3 linked regions of the Cricetulus griseus genome follow. The protein of the gene in region 2 purifies or fractionates together with the protein of the main gene of each other region. This does not show direct contact. Links are inferred from orthologs where the notes say so. Each region holds a gene or a part of one and is shown on either strand. Other genes may lie near its edges.

The links.
Region 1: the proteins of Hnrnpc (region 2) and Crnkl1 purify together in Homo sapiens (co-immunoprecipitation; 3 studies listed by BioGRID and IntAct, with this or other methods). This does not show direct contact. The link is inferred for Cricetulus griseus from reciprocal best matches to the Homo sapiens genes HNRNPC and CRNKL1.
Region 3: the proteins of Hnrnpc (region 2) and Snw1 purify together in Homo sapiens (affinity purification with mass spectrometry; 3 studies listed by BioGRID and IntAct, with this or other methods). This does not show direct contact. The link is inferred for Cricetulus griseus from reciprocal best matches to the Homo sapiens genes HNRNPC and SNW1.

Annotation. Positions count from the first base shown.
Region 1 is NC_048599.1:33,081,834-33,085,582, reverse strand, and holds the start of Crnkl1 (crooked neck-like protein 1), read right to left. Parts: upstream 2,788-3,749; 5' UTR 2,664-2,787; coding exon 2,613-2,663; intron 1,049-2,612; coding exon 896-1,048; intron 363-895; coding exon 271-362; intron 1-270. UniProt on the Homo sapiens protein: Involved in pre-mRNA splicing process. As a component of the minor spliceosome, involved in the splicing of U12-type introns in pre-mRNAs.
Region 2 is NW_023276807.1:207,170,692-207,174,440, forward strand, and holds the start of Hnrnpc (heterogeneous nuclear ribonucleoproteins C1/C2), read right to left. Parts: upstream 2,512-3,749; 5' UTR 2,356-2,511; intron 1-2,355. UniProt on the Homo sapiens protein: Binds pre-mRNA and nucleates the assembly of 40S hnRNP particles. Interacts with poly-U tracts in the 3'-UTR or 5'-UTR of mRNA and modulates the stability and the level of translation of bound mRNA molecules. Single HNRNPC tetramers bind 230-240 nucleotides.
Region 3 is NC_048598.1:116,332,183-116,335,831, forward strand, and holds part of Snw1 (SNW domain-containing protein 1), read left to right. Parts: intron 1-2,373; coding exon 2,374-2,535; intron 2,536-3,649. UniProt on the Homo sapiens protein: Involved in pre-mRNA splicing as component of the spliceosome. As a component of the minor spliceosome, involved in the splicing of U12-type introns in pre-mRNAs.

The sequences.
Region 1 (3,749 bases), on a different chromosome or scaffold from region 2:
ATTTTTGAAACATGAACACAGAGAAGACAGATAAAACCCTGCTTCTTTAGTTACAGGGGTACTAGTGGCAAGACACACACACAGAACCTCCTGCGATACTCCGTGGCTGTCCTTCCCAGTGTCCTCAGCACCCGCAGAAGAATGTGAAGATGCCACAGAACAGAAGCTGGGAGGTTCAAACACAGTACAGTCCAATGCTTGACTTTTCCTACTTTTTCACAGGACAGTTGATACTATTTTATATGCAAATACTACACATGGCAATTTTACCTTTGAATTTCCTTTAGACTTTCTTCCCATTGTGCGTATTTTATCCAGTTACTAATCACAGTCCTATTTTTTCTTATGTTATCTTCAAAAGTCTGAAAGGCAAAATGGGGGTAGGGTAGTATATTAAAGCAAAAATGACTTCGCCTTTTGCCTTGCAATAAAAGTCACTCATTTCATTCTTTTTAAGAGAAATTATATCCTGGATGCTGAGAAACGAAGCTCACTACAGATGGTTACAAATCACTATCTTATAATTATTATCACTATAAATATCACTATTTATACAATCTCTAAAGTTTATGGAGACAACAAAAAAACTGTAGATGTAATGAACTACTGGAAGAATTATTGGTAGTTTTTGCTGTTGCCCATAACAACAACTAGTACGTTAATATACTCTACTCTCATTCCTAAGAAGAAAACAATTTTTAACATTACCTTCAAGTGCTCTCAGTAATTCACAGAATTTGACATTAACTTCCATAATATTAGTGGATTAGATAATCCCAAATATTAGCCTGAGGTCAAATCACATGGGCTCTCTCTGAGTTCTCTCCTGGGCCCTGGCTCCTACTGTGAGTGGTGACATGGACAGGTATGCTCGGTGCCCTCCCAACAGACTCACCTTCCTTTTTCGTAGCTTGTAATCGTTTAGTTCTTCTTCATCTGTGATCTTCTGCTGAGGCGGAGGTGGGAGGAGCTCGAGTTCTCTTTCTTTAGCCTCTCTTAAGAGCTGCTCAGCAGTTATCTGTACTTCGGCTGGCGCTTTGTTTTTCACCTTTTAAGGAAAAAAAAAAAAAAAAAGACATTTCTATTTTGGGTAGTGTTCTCCACACAAGATTTGAAAACCCACGAACATTTTCCAGGATGTGAACTTTGTAAGTATGAGGACAACCTGACCTCTTTGAATGACATGCTCAATTCTCCAGGAGACAGAAGGAGGGTGGAGGTGGGGCATCCTGCATTTTCTATCTAATGTATGACATCTATGATAACAAGTCCATAGTGAAAATCTCAAAAGGAAAAGCTGACAAAATAGCAGCATTTTTCCCTGTTAGAAGAGTAAAATAAGTACTACTCTCTAGCGTTATAACCTGTTTACAGAATTCCCCTACTTATTTTAACCCCTTTAGTGGACAAGTTGGCGTTCCCATGACATTTTAAGTCAACTGTAACTTATTAAGTTCCAGTCATTAACATGTAAACTTCTTGAGCACACACAGCTCTGTTGTTCAACACAGTAGGTACAAGCCAAGCGTGTTCAGATTTAGATGGACCTTAAGTGCAAGAATACTGTTCTAATTTGCTTTTTTACTGCTGTGATTAAACATCACCAAAAAAAAGCACTTGGAAGGAAAGAGTTTATTTGGCTTACACAACTGAATCACAGCCCATCATGAAGGGAAGTTGGGGCAGGAAGGGATACAGAAGCCATTTAGGAACACTGCCCACTGGATTGATTGCTCAGCCTGCTTTCTTACAGTACTGAGGACCACCTGCCCAGGTGTAGCACTCCCTGAGAAAACTGGGCCCTTCACATCTATCATTAGCCAAGAAAATGCCTTACAGACTTGCCCACAAGCAATCGGATGGAGGAATTTTATCAGCTGAGGTTCCTCTCCGCAGATAACTGTTGCTTATGCCAAGGTGGCAAAAAACCTAGCCAGCACACCCTGGCTTTTATGACTCAGGATGGGAAAAAAGCTCCCACATTAGACTTTTACAATAATTACATGTGGAAATGAGAACTTGTCTCAGAATAAAAAGGCCACGTATAAGAATCAGACAAGAGAAGACCATACGTAAAGGTAAAGTGCACGACTTGCCACTTATCAAGCATTGGTGAAATATTAGTCACCGTTGGAAATATAATAATCTACCGTTTAACTTAAATTATGCCATTGCACAGAGCCCATTCCTCCCATCCCCTCCACTGTCCAACTTTCGCGCAGCTTTCAAGTTTCAGCTTCCTCCACAAAGTTTACCTTCAAGTTTACTGACAACCCTCTGGTTCTTGCCCATGGCATGGTCTACGGTGCCTGAGTACCTCCATCAAACTTGCCATTTCGCCCTTCCTCTTGTTTTACTCCAGCAGTGTGTGTGTGTTGGGGGGGGGGCGGTCCCCAGAGCCTAGCAAAGCTAAGAGTTTGCTTAACCGAACTGGTCACCCGCGTTACAAAAACACCATCCTAGAACGAAGGCTGGGCAGACACGAGACGAGCTCGGAGTGACAAGACCCCCGCGCCACGCCACCGACCCAGGCAGGCAAAGAGCTCGCTGCCCCGAGTCTCCAGTGCACCACACCACAGATGCTCTGCTTGGGGCCCTTCGCGGTCGCCTACCTTGGCCACTTTGGGAATCCGCTGCTTCCCGGCCGCCGTAGAGGCCGCCATGTCTGCAGCCGCTGGACCGGAGCAACTCCGACTCACTCCTGAACCTCAAAAATCGGCTTCGAGAACCAGCCCACACCGGAGAACCTGCCCACAACAAACTAGATCCCGGAACCGGAAGCGGAAGTCGCAAGACGCTCTTTGACCGCCGCACGAGTCGGGCGAAACGTCACGTCGTTTCCGTAGCAACCGTGTGCGCGTCCTCTGTGGAGCCACACGGCGTGCAGGAGCTGCCGGTGAGGTGGGTATCGTGGGCTGCGCCGCAGGGTCGCAGGGCCCGGGAGGCGAGGGCGTAGCCAGATCTGTCTTCGGGATGCGTGCATCTGTGGCAGTGGCACCTGCGAGGGACGTGGGAGCCCATCTCGGATGTGGAAACTCGGTGGAGGAGGGAAGAGCGACGAAGGAAACCACAGCCGGCTAGCAGCTGCCGGAGCAGCGGTGCATGCTGGGCTTTGTAGTCCAACCCCACTACCTCCGCCTCCAACCCTGTCTCTGGCTTCTCCGCTATTGGGCCAAGCTTTGAAACGTGGATTTTTAAATAAAAAGAGGTAGTTTTGGAACCAGATGTTAAGGAAAGATGGAAATACGTCAGTAGCAAAACACCTAACCCTATGGTCAGAAACTGATGTGTACATTTTTAGTGTGTGAATTTGTTTTCATTATTTCAATTCCGTTATCCTTAATGCCCTTTGGCGATAAAAAGATAGAAATAACTATTTCCTTAAGATTGAAAAGCCTGCCGGGCAGTGGTGGCGCACGCCTTTAATCCCAGCACTCGGGAGGCAGAAGCAGGAGGATCTCTGTGAGTTCGAGACCAGCCTGGTCTACAAGAGCTAGTTCCAGGACGGCCTCCAAAGCCACAGAGAAACCCTGTCTCGAAAAACCAAAAAAAAAGATTGAAAAGCCTATGTAAAGTGCTCACTAGATGTTAGTAAGTATAATATCTGATGTACCTTCAAAACAGAATGATTGGGCATATAGTTAAGAGAATTTTTTAAATTTAAGAAATTTGGGGTTGAAAGTAAAATTCAAGGGAGGGTGAGATTTCCCTGCTCCCTGCTTGCCCACCTCCAAAGAGCTCTCCACTAT
Region 2 (3,749 bases):
ACAAGGAACCCCCCCCCAAAAAAAACAAAATCTAGGTAACAATTATGACTCAATTAGAAACTGGTAGTAAAGAGCACAGCAATCTGTTCAAATTAGAATACTTTAAACAGAAAATCAGCTTTTGTCTTTTGAGAACTGTAAAGACTTAACCAGGAGCCTATACCCACTGTAGTTTTTCAAAATCTTTACTGAAACACCTGTGGTTTTACTACACCTGAACGTTGTTTTTTAATCAGCCAATTCTCCAGTAAATCTAGTTTCAAAACCATAAATCTTCCGATGAGTTGAGTGTATGAAGCTTTAGCAAATAATGAGACGAACAAACACTTAGGTTTCTCTATGTAGCTTTGTACACCAGAGATCCACCTGCCTCTGCCTCCCATTCAGAAATCCACATTTCTAACACTTTTGAAGGACTAAAAATAGAGGAAACAAGGTCTCACCAGGCCTGAGAATTCTTTGTAGACCAGACTGGCCTCAAAATCATAAGCTATCAGCGAGTTCCGCTGGACTGAAGTTGTGCCCCACCATACCTGGCCTGTATGTCTAACATTTAATGGCAGGTGTTTTTAACCAATCTCAACTACTGCCAGTAGTCTTCTTGCATACTAATTTCCGACACTTATTTACAACACTATTTTTGATGGATGCCTTCCTAGCTATTTCTCTTACCCATTTCTCACTTCACCAGAGCAAAATCTTACTCTTAAATTCTACTTCTAAGGCACACCTTAAAATGATGAGGCTTGGCAGGCAGTGATGGTCACATTTAATCCTAGCACTTGAAGAGGCAGAGGCAGGCAGATTTGGTCTACAAAGCAAGTTCCAGGACAGCCAGAAGTCATACAAAGAAACCCTACCTTGAAAAAACAAACAAATGGCTCGGAGGCGGGGCAGGCCTTTGATCCCAGGATCAGGAGGATACAGAGGCAGGCGGCTCTACCAGACCAGCCTGGTCTAAAGAGGGAATTCCAGGACAGGCTCAAAAGCTAAAGGGAGAAAATAGGTCCCCAAAAAATAAAAATTAAAACAAAAAATTAACTCCCAGATAAACTGACACCCTACACTATTAGTGCTGGGGATTAAATTAAGGGCACCTTGCATCCTAAGCACTACCACTGGGCTACATTAGCAACAGCTGTAACAAATGGCTGGGAGTTAATAGTTTGGGGGGGGGGTTCGAGACAGGGTTTCTCTGTGTAGCTTTGGAGCCTATCCTAGAACTCAGAGATCCGCCTGCCTCTGCCTCCCGAGTGCTGGGATTGAAGGCGTGCGCCACCAACGCCCGGCCCAGAGGGTTGCTTTTTTAAAAACTGCTTTGGAGCTCTCCTCTGTTTTAAAAACAAACAGCCAAAAACAAACAAACAAAAAAAAAAACCAAGATTTTACTGTGTAGTTCTGGGCTGGCTTGCAATGGATACTGATCCTCCTCCTGTCTCATGGCCTCTGGAATGCAAGAATTACAGGCATGCAATACCACACCTGGCTGGAAACTCCTTATTACCAAGTTTAGAACTGATAGGATATTGGAATATCCGGAAAAGACTATTTTGGTTTTGCTCCGGTTACCTTTAATTTCGCTATCAGCTTCCCCTAAAAACTCGATTGTCTTTTTCGTACACAGTATTCCAGTATTCTTTACCTACCTAAAAATATCTTAGTCGCTCTAATTTAGTAAATACTGTCAACCAATTTACCTATCGTTTCTCTCTCAAGACAGCAGTACCTACCTCAAGCAAAGTCCCACTAACATATATTTCAAGTAATTCGTAATCTGCAGATTAAAAGGTAAGTTGCAATTTTATTGCAATTTTAATTAACCCGTGACACTTCCCTTTTACAGAAAACACTCCGCCTTCTACCATTTATTCCTACGGGAGAAAAAGTAATGAATACTCGATCTATTGTTAACACGCCGCTCGGATGCCATGTGGCCCGCCCGGAATTTGGAAGCTTCCAGTACATCATCAGCGTAACGCTCCGCCACCCCCGCCCGACGTTGAACTTAGAAGACTTAATAACGGAATCGTTAAGACATTAAACCTCAATTAGGGTAACAAGCTTGCATTTCTTCCTTTTCACGCTCCCCTCTCCGAGTCCTGGCGGTCGAAGGCAGGCAAAGTGGCCGTTAGACACGAGCGCGCCGGCAGGGTATCCTCCGCGCCGCCCGCGGCCTGGAGGTCACCAGGCTGAACCTGCGCCAGAGCCGAGGCCTGGCGCCGCCCGACTTAGACCCGGTCCCCGGGCCACGGGAACCAACGCGGGCGCCGTTCCTGCCGCCAGGCCGTTCGCTCCCACACCCGCTCGCAGCGCCCACGAACCCGCGCCTCCCCTGCACTCGGCCCCTCCGCTTACCAAGAGTTCGGAGAGAGAGAGAGAAGACACTGCCTCTCCTACTGCGGCTCCGTGCGGAGACTCCGAAGCGACTGCAGGCAGGCAGCACACGACCGTTCGCTCTCCGGCGCTCCACAAAATGGCCCCCGAGCTCCTCTGCCGCCGAGGCGAAGGTCCAGCCCCGCCCCGCTCCTGGGGGCGTTCCTATTGGCTGAGCCTTTTCTCGCTCCCGCTCCTCATTAGATGGCGCTACCGCTCCTCACAGTGCTAGCCAATCGCGATCGGGAGTAGGTTGGTCTAGTTGCGAGAATTTCCACCTGCGTCACCGAAGCTCGTTAGTAATTGGTGGAGCTTCCTGTCACTTAGGGTATGAAGGATGGTCATTGGCCACTGTACCAGACGGAAAACTGGGTGGAATGTTCGCCTTTGTATCGCGCACAGCTTCTCATCCGGGTACCGGCGGGCCTGACTGACGCCGCGTCGGCCTATCGGCGCTTAGTGGACTGCCTAGATCCGCCCTGATCACTGCATTTCCGCGGCGCGGGGGTGGTAAAGTCTGGGTGGAGTCTGGTAGCGGGTGCAAAGGGCCTGCCCTCGCCCCGGGCCTAGGAAAAGGAAAACCAAAGTAAGCCTGAGCGTGGGGAAGAGAGTAATCCCTAGACCGCCTGGAGTGTAGATAAGACAGACCTGCAGTTTTTTTCAATTTCAGATCCTTCTCATTTCCACATTGTGTGAGCTGCCGGGAGGAGGTGGCCTCTCAGCCCACGAGGCTAGACAGCTCCTTCCAAACCTAGTCCTCTCCTGTTACCTGGACCCCTCCAAGTCGGTTGCAAAATCTGCAAACCGAATGGCCGGCCACCTCAATTTCCGATTTCCTGCAATAGTCTGACGGCCACTCAATCCCCTCAGGCCTGGCCTGCCAGTGAATTTCTGGTTATTCTGGAGGAACCTTGAGCACACCAAAATGTATACAGCCCCCTTAGAAAGGGAGATATTACCCCAAGGAGATACACTAGATCTAGGAAAGTCTGATTTAAATTTGGGGAAGGGGGATGTTGATTTTTGGGAGTGTTGATTTGGGGCTTTTTTTTTTTTTTTTTTTTTGGCCAGGTAGTGATGACGGTGCACGCCTTTAATCCCACCACTCAGGAGGCAGAGGCATGTGGATCTCTGAGTTTGACACCCACCTGGACTTCAGAGGGAGTTTCAGATCATCGGAGCTAGGTAGAAAAACCCTGTCTCAAAAACAAAACAAAATAATAATAATAATAATAAAAGAAAAAATTAAACGTTTTATTTATTCTATGTGTGTGTGTAAGCATTACGAGGGATCCGACAGGTAGGGATTCTGGCGTTCTGGCAATCTGGAGCCAAGGAATATGACAGGTCACAGTAATCATAGCAATTTACAGCCC
Region 3 (3,649 bases), on a different chromosome or scaffold from region 2:
ATTGATTTAAAACTATTAGGGCAACCAGGCTTGGTGGTCTGTGCCGTTAATCCCAGCATTTGGGAGGCCAAAAATCTCTGAGTTTGAAGCCAGCCAAGTCTACATAGTGAGTTCCAGGCCAGCCAAAGTTACATAGTGAGACCCTTTGGGGGGGGGGGTTATTAAAAAAATACAGAGCAGGAGGATATGCCATTGCTCAGAAAGTCTTGGCTTTTGTTTTCTTTTCTTTTTAACTAAAAGAAAGTTATTTCAGGGTATTTAAAAAGACAAAGCTTGGCTGTACCTGGGGAGACTGACTCAGTGGGTAAGAGCACTTGCTCTGTAAACATAAGATGAATTTGAATCCCCCATCACTCACATAAAGAGCTATAATCCCAGCATTTGAAGGGCAAAGGCAGGTAGATTCCAAGAGCTTGCCAGCCAGCCTAGCCAGCAAACTAGAGAGTTTCTGGGTCCAGTGAGAGGCTCTGTCTCAAGGCAATAGTGTGAAGAGTGGCAGGTGTACATACCTAATATCGTATTCTGGCCTCTGTATACATGTACCTGGGTGCATGCCCCTGCACACTGGCATTTATATCACACACCCACATGAGATAAAGCTTTTTGGTGTCCAAGTATCTGGATTTGTATTCTGCATATATGCTAACTAAGCCTGGCTAACCTAAAATCTGCTGGCCTCAAACTCCCTGATACCCTCCCGCCTCTTCCTCCCAAGTGCTGTGGGTTTGCCACCTCTCCTAGTACTAATATTTGTGAACTTTAGTTCTTTCCTTATAAGAATGCTCAGGTGTGAGTTAGACTTGAACAACAGAGGCTTTTAGAAATATTAAACACTGATGAATTATTGGCAGAATGCTATTCTACTTTAAAAACTGTAGTTCTCATTCTTGTGATGATTTATAATCACCGTTAGAGTTGTGTGCTGAGTGGTCACATATGTGTCATCCCAACTGAAGCAGGATCACTTGTGCTCAGTGATCCTGGCCAGCATAGCAGAATTGCCTTTCTAAAACTCACCCTCTGTGCTCCATAAATTTCATTCTTCAAATTTATAAGACAAGAACCCCAAAGCAGCTGGTTTGAGTGGGCCAGGGTTTTGTAAAGTCAATGGCCTTTAAAGCCATCCCAAGCTAGTGGCTTTTGGGTTCATGTCTCATGGTGAGTTAAAAGCGTTTTGTCGTAGAGCTCTTAGAGAAGGTCATGCTAGCTCCTGAGCAGGAGGGGTCATGTAGCTAATAAAGCTTTACTGGATGGAGGTGTGAGCTGGCCAGTCCGAATAGAGCCCTCCTTTAGGGAAGCAGAAATAGGGGGAAAAAATGACTTTCCAAAAAAAAAACCTCTACTCTCAGGTTTTTGTTTGGGTTTTTTTTTTTTTTCCCTAAAACATCATGGTCAAATTCTATGCCCTGTTCTTATCACAAGGACATGACTGGTGACTCATTCTGGGTCCTTTCTGTCTTACCTGTCTCTAGTATAATAATGAAAAAATGATGTGTTAACAGGATCTAATTCTAAGCATTTCTTGACATTTCTCCTAGGTTTAGCTCCACCTGATGCTCTATGTATGTCTGTGTATAATCCTAAAACTAGTCTTTGGTTTGTACTAAAATTTTTGTTTCCTGTGGTCTCCAGGAAATTCTGAAAAATATTGGTACAATAGGCCACCTGCAAGCTATATGTGGGCCTCTTACATAAAATTCGTATTCTTTGAGACAGGCGAGACAGCCCCTCTGTTACTTATTTGTCCATTGGCATCATCTCCTCTGTCCTCCAATAGTGGATAGTCCCACGCTCCATTCCTGGGGAGTTAACATCACTTGTTGCTTTCCTAAGAGGACACTATTCAGTTTCCTGCACCCCTGTTCTAGCTTAGGGACTCTGACCCCCTCCTCTAGTCTCTGCTAGCGCCTACACACACACACACACACACACACACACACACACACACACACACACACACACACCCACCCACCACCCACCCACCCACCCACCCACCACCCACCCCTCACCCTCTACCTTACTAAAAAAGAAAAAGAGAATGCTTCCCTCGGGTCTTCCTTTGTTTGCTTTCTCGTCATTGAGGCTTTCCCTTGTGTGATTTCTTTACATAGGCGACATGTCTCACACACAGCCACTCTTCTGAAAGTATGAAAGTACCTTTTCCCAGGACCTATATGATCTTCATGGTACTTCCTGTACCCTATACCTGAAGAGTGTGTTTTTATACCTTTGCCCACTAAATATAAACTTCACAAGATGAAAACCTTGGCTTTGCTTACTGCTGTCACTCACACCTAGCATAGATTCCATAACTTGAATGAATTGCTACTTACTACTAAATATTCTTTTTACTTCTTTTCTTGTAATATACAGGATTTTGGAGATGGAGGTGCTTTCCCAGAAATCCACGTGGCCCAGTATCCACTGGATATGGGGCGAAAGAAGAAAATGTCAAATGCACTGGCCATTCAGGTGGACCCTGAAGGGAAAATTAAATACGATGCAATTGCTCGACAGGGGCAGTCCAAAGACAAGGTAATCTCATTGGTTTTGTGTATTTTTCTTGTTGATAAATTTTGTGAAGTTTTACATTTTGTGGAAATGATACATCACTTGTCATTTTGGATTATATAAAAATAGCAGGGAGGTTGGGGCTGGAGAGATGGTTCAGTAGTTAAGAACACTTGTTCTTGTAGAGGACCTGAGTTCAATTCCCAGCATCCACATGTAACTAGAGTTTCAGAGGCTCTGATGCCCTCTTCTGACCTCCAAGGGCACCAGGCACACCTGATGCACATACATTTATGCAGGCAAAACATTCATAAGCTTAAATAAGTCTTAAAAAAATATAGCAATAAAGTTAGTGTTCTAACTGATGGTAGATCACCTGCTTGGTGTGCACAAGGCCTGGGTTTGAGTCGAGCAGCAAAATCAAAAAAGTTGCTATAAAATATATAGCTCTAAAACATTCTTTATTAACTTTGTGACCAACAATGACACTATGCCTTGAAATTCTGCACAAATTGGTAATAGCTATTCTCCCCTTTAGAACAGTCCAGGCTGGCCTTCACCCTCCCAGTTCTGCAGGCCACATCTAACACGATAGCTTTCCTACTTATGTTTTGTTTGTTTTATATTTCAAAAAGTTATTTTGTATTCCAAAATTGCTACCAAACTTACAAAAGTCAATAATGCCACAAATGTGCACATAAAGTAAATAAAATATTAAAAAAAGCTGTATTTTGCAAGTAGTATATTCTTATGGTAAAAGAAACCTGTGGAGAACCAACTGTGGTGATGCACACCTTTAATCCCAGCAGAAGCAGGCAAATCTCTTGAGTTCCAGGCCAATTTGAGCTACATAGAGAGACCCTGTCTCAAAAAACAAAACAACAACAGAAAGATACCCATTTATACGTGGTATTCCTTGCTTTCCTGGTATTTTATTTGCCAGGGGTAGCAGCTGTAACTGCAGTGATCTATGTCTTTCCAGATTTTGTTGTGGCTTAGATTGTTAAAACTGAACTGTAGAACTTGGGGTTTCAGTATGTGGCCAAAGAAAGTTTCCTAAAAATTGTCCTTTGCATATAATAAAGGTCTTTTGTTTATAATGTGGCCACTGAAATTAAACCCAGAGCTGGTCATTTAG